4 linked regions of the Tribolium castaneum genome follow. Each later gene encodes a partner of the first gene's protein in a complex. Links are inferred from orthologs where the notes say so. Each region holds a gene or a part of one and is shown in the gene's direction. Other genes may lie near its edges.

The links.
Region 2: eIF3c (region 1) and eIF3b share a complex: the UniProt entries of both Drosophila melanogaster proteins name them as parts of the eukaryotic translation initiation factor 3 (eIF-3) complex. The link is inferred for Tribolium castaneum from reciprocal best matches to the Drosophila melanogaster genes eIF3c and eIF3b.
Region 3: eIF3c (region 1) and eIF3e share a complex: the UniProt entries of both Drosophila melanogaster proteins name them as parts of the eukaryotic translation initiation factor 3 (eIF-3) complex. The link is inferred for Tribolium castaneum from reciprocal best matches to the Drosophila melanogaster genes eIF3c and eIF3e.
Region 4: eIF3c (region 1) and eIF3d1 share a complex: the UniProt entries of both Drosophila melanogaster proteins name them as parts of the eukaryotic translation initiation factor 3 (eIF-3) complex. The link is inferred for Tribolium castaneum from reciprocal best matches to the Drosophila melanogaster genes eIF3c and eIF3d1.

What each region holds. Positions count from the first base shown.
Region 1 is NC_087401.1:16,333,866-16,338,661, reverse strand, and holds the start of eIF3c (eukaryotic translation initiation factor 3 subunit C), read left to right. Parts: upstream 1-1,577; 5' UTR 1,578-1,709; intron 1,710-1,956; exon of another isoform or gene 1,957-1,959; 5' UTR 1,960-1,964; coding exon 1,965-2,054; intron 2,055-2,104; coding exon 2,105-2,869; intron 2,870-4,796. Other genes in the region: beag (protein Red), read left to right, coding at 488-1,227. UniProt on the Drosophila melanogaster protein: Component of the eukaryotic translation initiation factor 3 (eIF-3) complex, which is involved in protein synthesis of a specialized repertoire of mRNAs and, together with other initiation factors, stimulates binding of mRNA and methionyl-tRNAi to the 40S ribosome.
Region 2 is NC_087399.1:10,626,630-10,630,511, forward strand, and holds part of eIF3b (eukaryotic translation initiation factor 3 subunit B), read left to right. Parts: intron 1-1,839; coding exon 1,840-2,675; intron 2,676-3,882. UniProt on the Drosophila melanogaster protein: RNA-binding component of the eukaryotic translation initiation factor 3 (eIF-3) complex, which is involved in protein synthesis of a specialized repertoire of mRNAs and, together with other initiation factors, stimulates binding of mRNA and methionyl-tRNAi to the 40S ribosome.
Region 3 is NC_087394.1:22,551,973-22,556,729, forward strand, and holds the start of eIF3e (eukaryotic translation initiation factor 3 subunit E), read left to right. Parts: upstream 1-1,760; 5' UTR 1,761-1,848; coding exon 1,849-1,938; intron 1,939-1,986; coding exon 1,987-2,265; intron 2,266-4,757. UniProt on the Drosophila melanogaster protein: Component of the eukaryotic translation initiation factor 3 (eIF-3) complex, which is involved in protein synthesis of a specialized repertoire of mRNAs and, together with other initiation factors, stimulates binding of mRNA and methionyl-tRNAi to the 40S ribosome.
Region 4 is NC_087399.1:4,807,418-4,812,057, forward strand, and holds eIF3d1 (eukaryotic initiation factor 3 p66 subunit), read left to right. Parts: upstream 1-1,852; 5' UTR 1,853-1,919; coding exon 1,920-2,121; intron 2,122-2,183; coding exon 2,184-2,446; intron 2,447-2,492; coding exon 2,493-2,604; intron 2,605-2,649; coding exon 2,650-2,759; intron 2,760-2,813; coding exon 2,814-2,952; intron 2,953-2,999; coding exon 3,000-3,292; intron 3,293-3,335; coding exon 3,336-3,905; 3' UTR 3,906-3,962; downstream 3,963-4,640. Other genes in the region: Sans (ankyrin repeat and SAM domain-containing protein 4B), read left to right, coding at 1-276, 323-618, 668-1,046. UniProt on the Drosophila melanogaster protein: mRNA cap-binding component of the eukaryotic translation initiation factor 3 (eIF-3) complex, which is involved in protein synthesis of a specialized repertoire of mRNAs and, together with other initiation factors, stimulates binding of mRNA and methionyl-tRNAi to the 40S ribosome.

The sequences.
Region 1 (4,796 bases):
TTTATAATATTTCTTATTTATTTTTTAGCATTGTTTTTGTACTTACCTTTAGATTTTTTTAAAAGATTTTTGTGATTCTTTCCTAAAGAGGTCTTTAGATTTTAAATCAGCAAAATTTTCCTTTAGATTCTCTTCTCTCGCTTATAAAAATTCTTGTCTAGTTTCTTTTAGAATTCTTCTTGTTCATTTTTTAGCATTGTTTTTTTACTGTCTTTTAGATTTTTTTAAAGATTTTTATGATTATCTCCTAAAGACTTCTTTAGATCTTAAATCCGCAATTTTTTTTATATTCTCCTCTCTCGCTTATAAAAATTCTTCTCTAGTTTCTTTTAGAATTGCTCTTATTTATTTTCTAGCATTGTTTCTGTACTTCTTTTTGGATTTTTTAAAGGTTTTTGTGATTCTTTTTTAAAAATTTTTACATGAATTTTAATGTTAAAATTCCTATTAATTTAATACCAACATGACTATTAAAATTTTATTTCAGACGATGAGGCTGAATCAGACATTCCAACAACTTTAATCCGTTCAATCGCCGACGTTCCGTCATTTGAACTCACCACAACCCTCACAACCAACGACATTGTCATAAATAAATTAACCCAAATTTTAAGTTACTTGCGCCAAGGCAACCGAAAGAACAAAAAAACCAAACGGGGACTCCCCGAAAGTCGCGAAAACGAACAACCGGAAGAACCCGAACCGAAAAAAACAACAAAACGTACAACCGGTGATGACTCCATCTATGGAGATATTGGTGATTACGTACCCACAAGAAGTGGTAAACATGGAAACTCGTCACGTGACCATAACAAACACACGTACTTTGATAAACAAGAGGAAGCGCTTGAAAATAGCGGACCGACTTTCAAAGTCAGTAAATCGGCACAAATCCTTAATAAACTGGCTCAAGAGCCTGAGGGATATGCTGAGTGTTATCCCGGATTGGAGGAAATGAACGATGCGATTGATGATTCTGATGATGAGGTTGATTATTCTAAGATGGACTTGGGGAATAAAAAGGGGCCGATTGGACGCTGGGACTTTGACACAGCTGAGGAGTATTCCGATTATATGAACCAGAAGGAGGCTTTGCCGAAAGCAGCCTTCCAGTACGGCCTTAAAATGGCAGATGGGCGCAGGTCCAGGAAGCATAAGGATAAGAACGAAAAGGCGCATTTGGACAGGGAGTGGCAAAAAATCCAAAGCATTATCAAGAAGAAATAATTTTGTTGTGTATTTAGGAGATAAATAAGTTAATTTAAATAAAAAATATATATTGGAAATTTGATTTTCTACAACTTTGTTCCTTACTTTTTTGTCTTACTATCGAGAGTTTAATGCTCTATGTGCCTGTATTTTTTCTTTGCTATCTGCTAATGGAACAAGTGCGCTCTCTGGTGACAATAAAGGAACTACCGAAAACGCGAGCGTTTCATTTGTACGTCTTTGGTATCTTAACCGTAGAATCCTTACTTTTGACACAACTTGAACCTAAATACCACCACCTAACCCTGGCTCTCGACTTAAGGGCCCTTTCGTGCCCAAAAACAAATTAATTTGCCCTTTTTTTACGATATTACCATAACACTACCAATCACAAGACAAAAAAGTCCCGATTTTGACAGTTGGCACAAGTTTTTGGCCATTTTGTGGTTACAATCGTGTCGGAAAATCTGTTAAGTGAAAAAAAGGCTTTAAACACGTAAGTTTTGCCTCTTTCACGTGTATTTTACCTTAAAATTGTGGTTCCGACATTTCTAACTATAATTTTGGGGAGTTCCGTCTCCAAACATGAACCACATGGGCCCCAGTAACTAGCTTTAAAGTAGTCTTAAATTAAGTTTTCGGTCTTCATTTGGCCCAAAGAAGCGAAAAACCGTTACCTAACGCCAATTTAACGCCTAGTTATTGCGTTATTTCACGTAATTTTTTTGAGGTTATGTCACTTTGTAGGTAAAAAAATGAGTCGTTTTTTCGCCGGTTCGGACTCAGACTCCGACAGCTCCTCCGAGGAAGAGCCAATTCAGCGCGCGCCAGCGCCCGTTTTCACCGTAAGTGAGCCCCCATGTAGCTTAACATTTTTTTAATGGCCCCCTTCTAGTTTAGCGACGATGAAGAGGAGGTCAAACGTGTGGTTCGCTCCGCCAAAGAGAAGCGTTACGAGGAACTCACTAACATTATCAAACAAATCCGCAATTACAAAAAAATCAAAGACATGAGCAGCATGTTGACCAGTTTTGAAGACCTTCAGAAGGCCTACGTTAAAGCGCTCCCAGTGATCGCGAAAGAAGAATCGGGGCAAACGCCCCGTTTCTTCACCCGTTGTTTGGTCGAAATGGAAGATTTCATCAACGAAATGTGGGAAGATCGCGACGGACGCAAAAACATGAGCAAAAACAACAGCAAGTCTTTGGCTTCAATGCGCCAGAAGTTGCGCAAGTACATCAAAGATTTCGAGGAGGATATTGCCAAGTTTAGGGAAAACCCCGACCAGCCGGACGATGAAGAAGAGGAAGAGAAACACGAGCCTGAGCCAGACACTCAAACTGAAGCGCCGGCCAAAGCTGTGGCTAAAATTTCCAAACAGATTGTTGATGATGAAGGGTCGTCTGATTCGGACGATTGGCCTAGTGATAGTGACTCGAGTTCGGATAGTTTTGATGAAGATGAAGGGAAAGGGACTATGAGGGAGCGGTTTTTGAAGAAAACTGGGCCGGCGCATGAAGATGATGAAGAACGCGATCGGAGGAAGGAGGAAAGGAGGAAGGAACGTAAGGAGAAGGAGAGGCGGAAGGTGAAGAAGGAGGATGAGGAGGATGGGGAAGGGGAGTGGGAGTTTGTGAAGGGGGGAATCGCAATTCCGAGCGTAAGTATCAGTACTTTAAATGTTTTTCTATTAAAAAAAATGAGGAATGACCTCTTTTCTTTTGTTATTCGGCTGTCTTGATTAGATAACACAGTACAATGAACTTTTTTTTTATAAAAAAGCTTAATAAGACCTTCTTCTATGACATATTAAAAATTTGGAAAGATATTATTTATGATTTTCTTGTTAGAGTCTGTCAAAAATAAACATTCTTGAAAAAATCAATAAAACAAAGTAAAAAATTCCGCTGTCTTGATTGGATAACACAGAGCAATGAACTTCTTTTTTATAAAACAGCTTCAGAAGACCTTCCTCTATAACATATTAAAAATCTGGAAAGATATTATTTTTGGTTTTCTTGTTAGAGTCTGTCGAAAATAAACATTCTTGAAAAAATCAAATAAAACACAAAGTTAAAAATCCCGCTGTCTTGATTGGATAACATAAAGCAATGAACTTCTTTTTTATAAAACAACTTCAGAAGACCTTTTTCTATAACATATTAAAAATCTGGAAAGATATTATGAACAATGAACTTCTTTTTTATAAAACTTTTTTATAAAACAGTTTCAGAAAACCTTCTTTTATAACATATTAAAAATTTGGAAAGATATTATTTTTAGTTTTCTTGTGAGAGTCTTCCAAAAATAACCATTCTTGAAAAATTCAAATAAAACACAAAGTTAAAAATCCCGCTGTCTTGATTGGATAACATAAAGCAATGAACTTCTTTTTTATAAAACAACTTCAGAAGACCTTCTTCTATAACATATTAAAAATATGGAAAGATATTATTTTTGGTTTTCTTGTGAGAGTCTTCCAAAAATAACCATTCTTGAAAAATTCAAATAAAACACCAAGTTAAAAATTCCGCTGTCTTGATTGGATAACATAGAGCAATGAACATCTTTTTTATTAAACAACTTCAGAAGACCTTTTTCTATAACATATTAAAAATCTGGAAAGATATTATTTTTGGTTTTCTTGTTAGAGTCTGCCAAAAATAACCATTCTTGAAAAATTCTAATAAAACACAAAGTTAAAAATTCCGCTGTGTTGATTGGATAACATAGAGCAGTGAACTTCTTTTTTATAAAACAGCTTCAGAAGACCTTCTTCTATAACATATAAAAAATTTGGAAAGATATTATTTTTGGTTTTCTTGTTAGAGTCTGTCAAAAATAACCATTCTTGAAAAATTCAAATAAAACACCAAGTTAAAAATTCCGCTGTCTTGATTGGATAACATCGAGCAATGAACTTCTTTTTTATAAAACAGCTTCAGAAGATCTTCCTCTATAACATATTAAATATTTGGAAAGATATTATTTTTGGTTTTCTTGTGAGAGTCTGTCAAAAATAACCATTCTTGAAAAATTCAAATAAAACTCAAAGTTAAAAATTCCGCTGTCTTGATTGGATAACATCGAGCAATGAACTTCTTTTTTGTAAAACAGCTTCAGAAGACCTTCTTCTCTAACATATTAAAAATTTGAAAAGATATTATTTTTGGTTTTCTTGTTAGAGTCTGTCAAAAATAACCATTCTTGAAAAATTCAAATAAAACACCAAGTTAAAAATTCCGCTGTCTTGATTGGATAACACAGAACAATGAACTTCTTTTTTATAAAACAGCTTCAGAAGACCTTCCTCTATAACATATTAAATATTTGGAAAGATATTATTTTTGGTTTTCTTGTGAGAGTCTGCCAAAAATAACCATTCTTGAAAAATTCAAATAAAACACCAAATTAAAAATTCCGCTGTCTTGATTGGATAACATCGAGCAATGAACTTTTTTATTATAAAACAGCTTCAGAAGACCTTCTTCTATAACATATTAAAAATTTGGAAAGATATTATTTTCGGTTTTCTTGTGAGAGTCTGCCAAAAATAACCATTCTTGAAAAATTCAAATAAAACATAA
Region 2 (3,882 bases), on another chromosome or scaffold:
GTTTTTTTTTTTGCATAAAACCTATTTTTAACTTTGAATTTATTTGTTTCTCTAGATGATAATATGAACTCACACAATTGTCGGTATTATTTATTTATTTTTTAAACATTTTTTCAATGTGACGAGTTTTTCTCGTATTCTAAAATAAACCAGCAGGATGTACACTTTGAAACTAGATCCCTCAATTAGATCCTCCTCCTCAGAAATTAGTTATTATTTTATTTTAAACATTGTTTGTAACCTTGGTTTAAGGGTTGGAAAAAAAATAAACAAAGTTCTATAAAAATGTACTATTACATAGGCAATTCATATACAATATGCTCAAAATTCCTCATGAAAATTTTGTTCACTGTTTTTTAACAAAAAAATAAATTGGTCAAAACTAGAGGTTTTTTCTGTGTAGTTTTAAACGAAACAAACTTTTTTGCTAAGGTTTTCATCAAGTCACAATGTTTTTTACGAAATTTAGGGTTGTTTTCCGGTAAAAATAGAACTGTTGAATTTTTTAACAGTCTTCAAATGGGAATCCAAATATTGGAAATGGATATTTATTAATTTTTTTTAATCTGATTTTAATTTAACACTTATGTATACCCTGGTTACGTCTGTTATATTTGACGGAAATGCTGTACTTTAGACCCTCTATGTAGAGGGTGTTAGGGAATGGCTTAGCAATATTGTGTAAGTGAATTTGTCATGATCAGACGAGTTAAAAACCCTTATATAATTTTTCCAAAAGGTGCGTACTTTCTTTAAAAAAAAAATATTAACCCACCTGTTGAGAGCCACTGGGCTTATGGTAGTTTATTAGCGGTTATTATTATATTTTTTTTTTTCATTAAATAAGGCAACATTTTCATTTGTGCGGAAGGTTCGAATCCCGGTCTTGGCAAAAAAAATATTTTTTCGTAAACTTTAGTAACAAAACACAAATTGAAATAGAAGAATAACGTAGTGAACCAACAAGTTATTTTAGCTCAGCTGTTTTGCCAATATTATTAGAATTTACGCTAAATTTTATAATTCTAGTTCAGCGGTTCTCAAATTTTGAGAACAAAAGTTCAGAACAAATTCTTTGAAAAACCATGCATTTTTGATTTACATAAATTTACATAAATCTTTAAATTTTTGCTAAGCCATTACCTAACACTCTGTATTTAAATAATAATAAATCATTGGCATAACTAACCTGATCTTTGATTAAATTTACCGTTTCTTTCAATTTTTTCAAACAAAAAGTTACAAATTTTATTTACTAAATACTTAATGGTACAGTAGCAGATACGGAATTTTGAGCACTTCTGTCACTTCGTAGTCGAAAGGTATGGAGTATTCCATACGTTTAAGTCAACGAAATGTCATAGGCGTCCAAAATTTCGCGTCCGCCACTGCACATATTATTTGTATTATGTTCGAAGGTTGGCAGAACTGCACTGAAGTTAAATGTGGTATTACGTTAAAGCTTTGGATAAAACAAAAAAAAGTATGTCAATTTTTCACTTTCAAAATTGAGACATTACCAGTTGGCTTAAAAATCCCTAAATCGATTAAAATAACAAAAAGTGCAAAATGGGGACAAATTACACAAAACAGTATAAAAAAACTCGTTTCATAAAACCTTGAAGTACTTATTCTTTAAAACTGAATTCGTGCTTCAAGACTGGTTTTATGAAACTTGTTTTCTAATATACTATTTCCACACAGATATTTTTAAGCTTATTTTTTACAAATGTGAACCGTGTACACTTTAAAACCTGACTTTTTAGTAAAAAAAATTAAATGTCTAAACTCATGAGTTTATATAATTTTTTGAAAACACTTCTTAACTAATTGTTGCAGAACTGGCCAAGAAAAGCGTTCTTTCAACCCTGAAGGCCCCTCCTCATGGCCGATTTTCCGCTGGTCTCACGACGACAAATACTTCGGACGCGTGGGCAACGACGTCCTCTCCATCTACGAAACCCCCTCGTTCGGTCTCCTTGAGAAAAAATCAATCAAAATCAGCGGCATCCGCGACTTCAGCTGGTCGCCCACCGACAACATCGTCGCCTATTGGGTGGCAGAAGACAAAGACGTTCCAGCCAGCGTAACCCTCCTTGAAATCCCCAACCGCAACGAAATCCGCAAGAAGAACCTCTTCAACGTCGCCGATTGCAAAATCCACTGGCAAAAATCTGGCGATTATCTATGCGTCAAAGTCGACCGTTACTCGAAAGTTCGCAAAGAGAAAAATGAGACGAAGTACAGCGGAATGTACTGCAACTTCGAGATCTTCCACATGAGGGAAAAACAGATCCCGGTGGATAGCGTCGAGAGTAAGGAACCCATCCAGGCGTTCGCTTGGGAACCGGTCGGATCGAAGTTTGCGGTCATACATGGAGAATCGCCGAATATTAATGTCAGTTTTTACGAAGTGAGAGTGGGACAAGCCCCAATTCTGCTTAAAAAGTTCGAGAAAAGGGCGTGTAATCACCTGTTTTGGTCGCCCGGAGGCCAGTTTATTGTTTTGGCGGGGTTGGGATCGAATGGTGGTGGATCATTGGAGTTTGTTGATACGCACGAGTTTTTGGTTATGAATACGACGGATCATTTCCAAATGTCGGATGTCGAGTGGGATCCGACGGGAAGATACGTCACGACGTCCGTTTCGTACTGGAAAACCAAAGTTGATACAGGTGGGTTTTTGGCTTTTAAGCTTGATTTAGAAATTGATACCGAACCTCTGTAATTTGAAGTATTGTTGAATTGAATGAATTATTCTTGCGGGGGTTTTCCCAGATTATCGTTTTTTTTTTTGGGGGGGGGCATAGTAGAGAGGGGCAGTATATTTTGTTTGTTTTTTTGTTTATTACTACCAACGTTTTGCCAGTTTTTATGAGGGGGGCTTCTTTAGGGCAATAAATAATTAGCAAACCATTCGTGCAGAAACAACGAGGAGGGGAACTATTTTGTTTAACAATAAATAAATAAACCAAAATAAATTGCACTGTGTCTGTTATCCTAATAAATAATTAAATCTTACTCAAATTAAACTCACAACAGACGATGAACCGTGAATCAAAAAAACTAATAACATTTTTAACCAAATTTGGTTTTCAGCTTTTGGGTCAATTAACAAAATCCGTTATTTTCGAGGTGCTTTTCTAAACGAGCTCTCAGAAAATAAAAGAAAATTTTGAAAATTACTGAATAGGTCAATTTTTATTAACAAGGGGAGACTTTTTGGTGCACTTTTAAAGCACTTTCAAATACGAACACCCTAAAAAGATTGAAAAGCATGATCTCAATTGTGATTCCTCAAATGAAGGGTATGTTTACTAGAAAATTTGCTGTCTTGTTTTTGACTTTCAATTTTTTTTATTTTACATGTACTCTGAAAGTTATAATGAATAAACAAACTTGACAAATTTTTTGTCAAGTTACGTAAAGTATCATTAGGTGAATTAGTCACATGTTTAAAATTCAAAACATTTAACAAAAATGTTTATATTAAAATAGTATAAATCATAATTTTAAAATAAAACGACCTTTATATTAAAGGAAACAAGACAAAGTGGAGGCTAATAATTATAAAATTCATAACAAATACTATTCTACTTGAACATGGATACATGACATCTATTGGATAACTAAAGGTTACGGAAAACAAAATAAAAAATAATAAAATCATATAAACTAAAGATTAGTTTGAAAGATCCTAATCATGATATTTATGTCTTAAGGAAAATTGATTAAGCAATTAATAAAGTAAAACCGCGTCTTCTATCGAAGATTATAAAATAATAGAGGTAAAAAATTAAACAGATTTAAAATTTAAACGACTGAAAAAACGAGAGAAAGAAGTCGAGACACAAGCCAAACATTCATATTACGTAAAAAAAA
Region 3 (4,757 bases), on another chromosome or scaffold:
AAGAAACAGAATGGAAGTATGAGAGTATTGACAAATACATCGGGCAATGAAAATAACTTTTGGTTTTGTACCTAAAACAATTATTGTAAATGTTCGAATAAAATATTTGATATTTTTCCACAAACTTGTTTGATTTTGTGACGATTACGTTTCAAAAATCGCGCCAAAAACTTGGCAAATTGTCCAGCATGAAAGTGAAATTCCCTAGGCCCTGGTGCCGCCCAGGCATCCTGAACTGATATAGCCAAATCGAACCCTCACTGACACAGCTTCCTTGATTAGTGAAGGGAAGTACCCTTTACACGGCTGGTCGCATTGAACAAAAAAAGTGTTTTTTGACAGCTTACTTTATTGTAGCGCCATCTATTAGTTGCTGCTGAAAAATTCACTTGGTGTCAAAGGTGACAGCCGTCATATTTTTTACAAATTTAAGTTTTCAACCTCTTTTGCACAAGATTTATACAAAATTTTGCCAACAGGAAGGCAAGACAAAGCTTAGTTTCATTTTTTTTCCACAAGTTTTAATCAAAATTTGAAATGCAAAGCATTTCGACACTAATGGGTACATTTTGTACAGTTGGTTGCAAATGCGTTCCAACACTCTTTTGATCATTTTCGTGAGCATAAAAATGTTTGTTTACCATTCGGCAAAATGTTCAAGTTTGTATGACGCTTTTTACGTTCGTTTTGTGTTTCGCAGTTCGCTCTTGGCATAGGCTCTTGGTCACTCACATGGCAACATGCGCTTTTGGTTCCTCACAGTAAAAACACGTGCCAAATGTTTGTAGAATACGTTTTCTACAACTATACAGCTAATACTAATGCGTTTTGCCTTAGAAATCTTCTGCACTGACAGCAGTGTGACAACACTTAACCTTAGAACTGTCAGAATTGTTTTACTTTATAGTGGCTCCCTCTCAGAAACAAAAATATGCCATGGAACTAAGCAATGCGGCCAGCCGTGTGAAGGGAAAGTTCCTTCATTAATCAAGGAAGCTGTGCTCACTGAAATAGGATTTACTGATGATGCGGATAGATGGCCTTAGTGTTTTACGGGAAAAAGAAATCCTATTGGCGGATTTAAAATTTCATATTACTGAAGAAAAACGTGGTACCGATGCGCGGCTGACAAGTAAAAATTTCACAAACGTCAGCAAAATTTGAGTTTATTTTTTATATCACGTTAATTTTTCAAAGTTTTATTAAGATAGTGGTTCAAGGTGTCGTGTTTGGGTTAGACTATTGCCTACTATCGGTTAGGAACAACATGATCTCCAAGAATATAACGTAGTAATGAGCTCCAGAAGGTTTTCATTGATAGGTGCGTTTTTTCCAAAAGTGAGTTTTTTGAGAGCGAACCGCAAGTGAGTCACACTGTGAGGAGATTCCCATAGACAGAAGTTGCTAACATAAGGTGCCAGTTTGGCTGATTGCAAGTATGTCTTTATCATCGATGCGGTGACGACTATTAGTTTTGTAAACTTAATGGATTTAATAAATATCTTTAATATTAAATGTGTTTAGATCGTGTCATGTTGGGTAAAATTCTTCTATTTGTGCTGTTTGTGCATCCACCTTTTCAAATACAATTAGAAAATTTTCATAATAATTGTATTTGATAAGGTTTTGACATCATTTTGACGTGAGCAAAAATTTAAAAAATACAAAGTAATCGGGATTATTTAATTCGCGCCATTTTTAGTACGTGATGATGCGGCTAGATGGCTCCAGCTAGGAATTCATTGCCAACCATTATGTTCCGCTTCTATAAAAGTGTTATTCTAGGGTGCCGCCATATGTGTCACATTTTATAAAATCTTGTTAGTTTTTGCATAAAAACGGTATAAAATGGCCCAATTTGATTTAACTTCCCGCATGGGGCAATATTTGGATCGGCACTTGGTGTTTCCATTGTTGGAATTTTTGTCGGCTAAAGAGGTACAGTTTTTGAGGTTATGTTCATTCGGTTGATTCCGAATTTCGTAGATTTACGATGAAACGGAATTGCTTAAAGCCAAATTAGATATTTTGAGCAAGACCAACATGATCGATTATGCTATTGACATCCGAAAGCAGCTGTATCCAAATGAAGAAGTTCCTGAAGATCTGAAGCAAAGGCGTCAACACGTTGTAGCTCAGTTACAGGAGCTTCAACAGGAAGTGCAACCAATTTTGAAGATTATGGCCGACGATGAGGTCATGAAGAATATGGAAAACATGAGGGATTCGAAAACTTTGATTAATTTCCTTTCAAAGGATTACAAAGTAAATACAATGTGTTCAAAAATGGTTGTTCACCCAGTCGACTATGGAAGTCAAAAACAATGTTCCGCTTCGTTCAAATCATTATTGTAGTGTTTGAATACTCTCATCTCTGTCAAATCTTAGCTTTTTACTCACTTTTTTGCATTTCTCAAGTGTGGGGTTTGCCGTCATTTGTGTTTTACATCTCGGTGAAATTTGTTGTGTACTCTTTCGTTTTTAGATTTGAAGTTTTTTTGCATTAATTTGACGGTTTTGTCGCTTTTGACGGCATTCACAATTTAAATTAAGTGGCACATTACGTTCAAATTTCATAAGTGACTTGCAATGAACAATCATTTCTGAATAGTGTGTTTGGACGAATACATTTTTGCAAAGAAAATGCACGTCAAGCTAATGAATGTTTATTTTAAAAAAAGAAGGATAAATTGAAGAAATACCTTTATTTGTAACTTATGACCTACTTAAACACTACTTTAAAACACTATATTTAACATGAAATTAAAACAAAGAAAAATAGGAATGATATTTGACAATTAATTGTTTGAACAAAAAAAAGATAGATTTTTTTGTAATTTCAATCTTTATTGGCTTCAATGACGACTCAACTTAGCGCTGGCATACTTTTAACGAATCCCTTACAAAATTCTGGCGTTTTATTGTTCCAAATATGTTCTATTTTATTTTTTAAATCTTTCAACAACTATTGAGGAAGATTTGTAGGATACCTTTTTACTTTGTGCCAAAAAGACTCAATGATATTTAAATCAGAGCTGTTTGCTAGCCACTCAATAAACTGACGTGGAAGTGTTATTGATGTTAACGAAAATATTTAATATAATGTTTTAATTTTTCTGATATGATATTAGTTAAGCAAATAATAATAATAGGTATTTATAAAATACAAAATATAAAAACTTGATTAATCGAAATTTAATTAATTCTGCAGTGTCTTTCTGGATCAACGGCGTATAATGCTATAAGCAAAAAATTCTTAAGAAAAATTTTTACGAACTTTTTGCACAAAACATTTAAGTATTTCAGGTGTTCTAAAATAACATAAGAAATAATAACTTTTGCAGCGTTTTAATATCATGTAATTTGATTGCGATTTTATGCAATTAATGAATTAGTAATTGTTAAAAAAAATAAAAAAACAATAAACTGCCAAGGAAGTTTTATTGATGTTACGAAAATATTTAATATTCAAAAAAATTATTTAATTCTACTAGTATTAGAAGTTGTTACCATTTAATTAATAAAATAAAAAAAAACTGTGGGTCGGTCTACAGACAGCGAAATTAAAATTTAATTCCGAATTAGACTAATTCGAGTTTAAGTTGTCATTTAAAATGCATTGGCAAATGTCAAGTTAATCACTAATAAAAATTTTATTGTAATTGAAATATTCTGTAAACTTCTTTGTTTAATTTAATTTCGCAGTTGGCAAGTAAGGTATAATCCTGCTTTTTCCGTAAATTTGTGCTAATGCGAGAAGGGTTAGCTGGTTTGATCTTCCGGTGATTTCCGGGGCAAATTGTTCAGTCAGTTACAGAATTTGTTATCACTTATAATGCAACAAAAATTAATGAAAACTTAAAAGCAATTAAAGAATGTTGGCATATTAATTAGTCACACAAAAATCAGTGTTTTCTATTAAATACTTAATTTTTTTCTCAAAGATTTTTTTTTATTTTTTTTTACATTTCCTTAAATAAACATGAATTACTAAAAATTATGTTAATAAAATTGAAAATATTATTCCGTGTAATTAATTAATTATTAATTTTATAATTTCAATAGTGTCTTTTAAATGAATGATATTTTAAGCAAAAAATTCTTAATAAAATTGTTGCTAACCTCAAAATTTCGATTTATTAAATTTTAATATTTTATACAATGTGTTTTTAAATGATTCTCATCCAGTTAACTTTGAAATTGGTTTACATGTAAAAAATTGTGCCGCTTTGCTCAATTGAATCCTCTGTTAATAAATGTAAAGTCTGTCAGTTGGCAAATTCATTTAATTTGTTTTAAAAACTTCGTTAAAATGTAACTAAATTATTATACCGTGCAAGAAAACACTTTTATTTTTTAAGCTTACTTTATATTTGGAGCCTTAATAAATGGAGAATGGTAATATTCGATGTCTAAATGCCTATCATTATTTATATGAAGCGGTATTTTCTGATTTTACTGTAGAAATTCACAGACGACTAGATGAGAATTATTTAAAAACACATTGTATTATTTATTAATATTTATTTTATTTTTTAATTAATTAAGGGCCAGTTTTATAATCGAATTTAAAGGAGCATTAAATTAAATGTTTAGAATGTGAAATGTCCACAAATCCATAGTAACCAGCACATTATAAACAACTTTTAGTTGAATGCTCCTTTAAATCCGATTATGAAATTGGCCCTTAAATTTTATTACAAAAATTAAATTATTTTTTGAACATTTTATTAAATACATATTTTCATTAACATCAA
Region 4 (4,640 bases), on another chromosome or scaffold:
GAATTCAACAAACGCCAAGTCAAAAAAGAGCAAGTTCAAGAGAAGCTGGAGAAACGTATGAACAAAGGTCACCACAGGCCGTCGATGATAGAGACGCTCAAAACCAGAATTAAAAGTGGGTCCATGTCGAACTTGTCGAATCTGGGGCCGGCCCCTCCGAGGTTCAGCACCATCGTGGGCAACGGGACCGTTTCCGGGATGCGGAATTTGGGGTCGGTGCAGAAGCGGGTGCTCGCCAGCCGAACAACGCGGCCTGGCTTCGACGACGACTTCAAGGTGCTCCCGAGAGTAAATAAGCATTTATTTGAAAAACTCGTTCCAGATTAGTGAAATTGAAGACGGCAAACGCTCAGTCAGATCACTAACGGGGTATCGGCGAGACTCTGAGGTACTTTACACGGGGACCATCGATGGCAGGAGAGGCCGTCTGGAATCGGTCTTCAACGAAGCTGAGTACATAGAGTCGTCTCCGCCGCCACCACCGTCCAGCAACGGCCTCACAAGGTCCATCTCCCAGCCTGACTTCATGCACGAATTGGAAACAAACGGCGACACTAAACTCCAACAAGAACCAGCGAGTATTTTCGTGCGCCCAGGAATTGGAAGCATAGCGTTCCGGTAACAAATAATCAATATGCGAAAGCACAAAAACACGTTTTTTATTTAGAAAGAGCATAACCAACACATTCCAAGGCTTCTACTCCAGCGAAGGCCCCAACGAGGAGAGTTCAATCGGGTCAGGGGAAAGCTACGGCCCCAGAACCAACACTCTATCAATCGAAGACGAGTTATCAGACCCCGAGTCCAGCGACGACGATAACCCGAACGCTCCCCTGGAACGCTTCTTGACCGCCTGGGGGCTAGGAGAGTACCTTCCCCGCTTCGAGGAGCAGAAAATCGACCTGGAAACGCTGATGATACTGACAGAAAACGATCTCCAAAGCCTGAACTTGCCCCTAGGGCCGTACAGGAAACTTGTGACCGCTGTCAGCGAACGCAAAGCCGCGCTGGAGAATCCGGGCGAAGTCACAGACAGCATGTTGTAAATATGGAGTCAAAATGTGTTATTTATTCATTGTCGTGGACATGATAACGGTATTGCTTGTATTTTATGGGCACTTTTTGTACAGATGTGTGCCAGGCATAATATTTACAAATTCGTATTTAAATTTATTATAAATAAATGTGTGTTATGCAAATGCGAGCTTATTAAACCCACTCCTTATCAGTGTTCTCTTTGCTGAGAGAAATCTGATGTCATCGTCAATACGCAATAATAGGGGACGTAAAATATACTACGAAAAAGTGAAGTTACGTGTAGAAGAATTTGAATTCAATACAAATTTTTGCGCTGTTGCGTTCTTTGTGATGGCAATGAGTTTTTATGCAAAATAAAGTTAGTGAGACACCAAAATAGAAAAAAATAATGCCTTATTGCCATTAGAGCTTATTTTCTTGCTGTTTTTCCAAGTTAAATATTAGTTATTAACAATGCAATAAATCAATTAGGTTGTAATGGAAAAAATTTAATTTAAAATTAATTGGAAACCCAAGAGTGAAGGATTTTTAACAGGATTCCATTATTATTTAGCATCGCCAACTTACATCAAATGTCGCTGCGGATCAGGGTGACAATTTTTTTCTGAAAAAAAGTGTAGAAAAGGTAAGTGAAACAACACGTAAACAAAAATTAGAGAATTAAATTGAAAAAAAAGTGGATGAAAATGTTTTCTCAAGCGCAGCGACATTTGATGTAAGTTGGCCATGTTATTTTGATTTCAAAAGCGCCGAATTTCAAAAACTGTCGATTGTCAGAATCTGCGCGCGCACATTTCTTTTTGCCAAGTGTTGTGCACAACTCGCGGTTTCTGCTTCAACATATTGAATTGAACACTTCCTAACTTCTGAAAGCAAGTCAAATGACTATGACTGATGGTCAATCAGCGGGTGAGGTCCCCAAATTCGTGGCCCCCGTAATCCAGGACAACCCGACTGGATGGGGGCCCTGCGAGCTGCCCGACCAGTTCAAAGATATGCCGTACCAGCCCTTCAGCAAAGGCGACCGTCTCGGCAAAATCAGCGACTGGACGGGGGCCGCCTTCCAAGACAAGAAATATGCCAGTTAGTCTGACATTGACACATGTCAAATTTGAGGTTAAGTGACTTATTTTTCGCAATTTTAGACAAGTATGCGTCCCAGTTCGGTTCTGGCAGTCAATACGCGTATTATCATGACGAAGACGAGAGCACTTTTCATTTGGTGGACACAACACGCGTCCAGAAGCCCCCCTATCAACGGGGGCGCTTCCGCGCGAACCAGCGCAACTTGCGCGGGCGTGGCGGCCGTGCTGGGGTGCAAGGCAGCGGCATGCAGTCCCTCGGGAAGGGGGTTAAAGCCAGGGACACGTATAAGAGGAGCCAGGTTAAGAAATGGGGACAAGGACGGGTAAGATCTCGCTTGAGTTTTACCGCAATATAGTTGGCGGTTTTAGCCCCAGATTAAGATCAGGGACGCTTCGGTTACGGTCAAACCGGATTGGGTCACCATTGAGGAAATGGATTTCCCTCGGTTGGGAAAATTGTCGCTCCCTAACGTCAAAGACGGTTGGTTTAATTAAGCAATGCGAATTTTTCTATTTTGGTTTTTAGGCGAGGATATTACTTGTTGTGGCGAGTTGGAGTACTATGACAAGTCGTACGATCGTGTCAACGTGAAGAATGAGAAGCCGCTGCAAAGCGTCAATCGTATCTTCCATACAGTGGGTTATTTTTAATATCATTGATGGCAAAAAATTAAAATTAATTATCCTCAGGTTACAACAACTGATGATCCGATTATCCGTAAGTTGAGTAAAACGGAGGGCAATGTGTACGCCACTGATGCGATCCTTGCGACCATCATGTGCTGCACTCGCTCGAATTATTCCTGGGACATCGTGATTGAAAAAATTGGTACTGTGCCCTTACAAGTGTAACAAATCTCAAACAAAATTTTTCAGGCGATAAACTCTTCTTTGATAAGCGTGACAATACGGAGTTTGATCTTTTAACCGTCAACGAAACGTCCGTGGAGCCCCCACAAGACGACGGCAACTCCTTAAACTCCCCTCGAAACCTGGCCTTGGAAGCCACTTTCATTAACCACAATTTCAGTCAACAGGTATTAAGAACAGGTACCGGGGAGCCCCGCTTCAAGTTCGACAACCCAAACCCTTTTATCTCCGAGGAGGAGGAAGGGGAGGTCGCCAGTGTGGCCTACAGATACCGCAAATATGACCTAGGGAGCGGAATAGTAATTTTTTCGTTTTGTTTCTGTCCACGTTTAATTTGTGTAGTTTTTGGTTGTCCGTTGCGAACACGATGCCGTGGTCCAGTCCCCGAATGGCGAGCTCCAATTCCTGTCAATCAAGGCCTTGAACGAATGGGATTCCAAATTGGCCAATGGGGTGGAGTGGCGCCAGAAACTGGACACCCAGAGAGGCGCCGTTTTGGCCAATGAGCTGCGTAATAACGCCTGCAAGCTGGCCAAATGGACCGTTCAGGCGTTGCTGGCTGGCAGCGACCAAATTAAATTCGGTTATGTTTCCCGGGCCCATGTCAGGGATAACAGCAAGCATGTTATTCTGGGTACACAGCAGTATAAGCCGCACGAGTTTGCCACTCAGATTAATCTGAATATGGATAATGCGTGGGGGATTCTGCGGTGTATTATTGACATTGTTATGAAACAGAAGGATGGGAAGTATTTGATTATGAAAGATCCGAATAAGCCGATGATCCGGTTGTACGATATTCCGGATAATACGTTCGAATCGGACGGGGAGTCGGAGTCGGAGGATGAGGTGCCCCCTGATTCCGTGACTTTCCAGACCCTTTATCCATACACCAACAGTGCGAAACGCTAGATTTTGTATTTTTATCATGTATTAGCGAAAGGCCGAAATAAAATGATCAATAAATAATAATTTGCAGTTAATTCTCGTGCATAGTATTAACCAACAAGTGAAAAAAAAATAAAACGGACTCTTGTCGTGTAGCAGCAGCAAGGTGCATTTGCTCACGCATTTTTTAATTTTTTTCAACAAAGAAAGTAAAGCTGTCGTATTCACAACAAAAGAAAAATAAAGGTAAGTGCATTATTCTATTTTGTTGCGGATTTACTTTATTAGGTTTAGAATTTACTTATTCAAGATTATCAGCACATTTTTATGACGTAAGATGTCATATTATCGTATGATTCATTCTTTTTTTGTTAATACGTTCCAACATTCAATAACTAAATCAAATTAACAGTTTTATTTTTACTCGAACCCACACAATTTGAGATGTTGAAAAGTTATAATCGTTTGAGTGCAACATTTTACAACAGATTAACTACTTTATAAAATTTTCAAACTAATTTGATGACATTTGAGTTTATGATGTCGTAAAGTGTATTTTTTCAATTGCTCATCTCCAAGTGGGATTGAATATGTGATACAATTAACATATTGTAAGTGAAATGTGGAATGGTAGGTATAATAATGACATAATATTAACTTGGTTTTTATTTATTTGCAATACCTTATTGCTACATATTGTAGCGGAAGTAGATGCCATGAAGATAAGTGCACTTTAATAATTTTTTTCATTTTACAAAA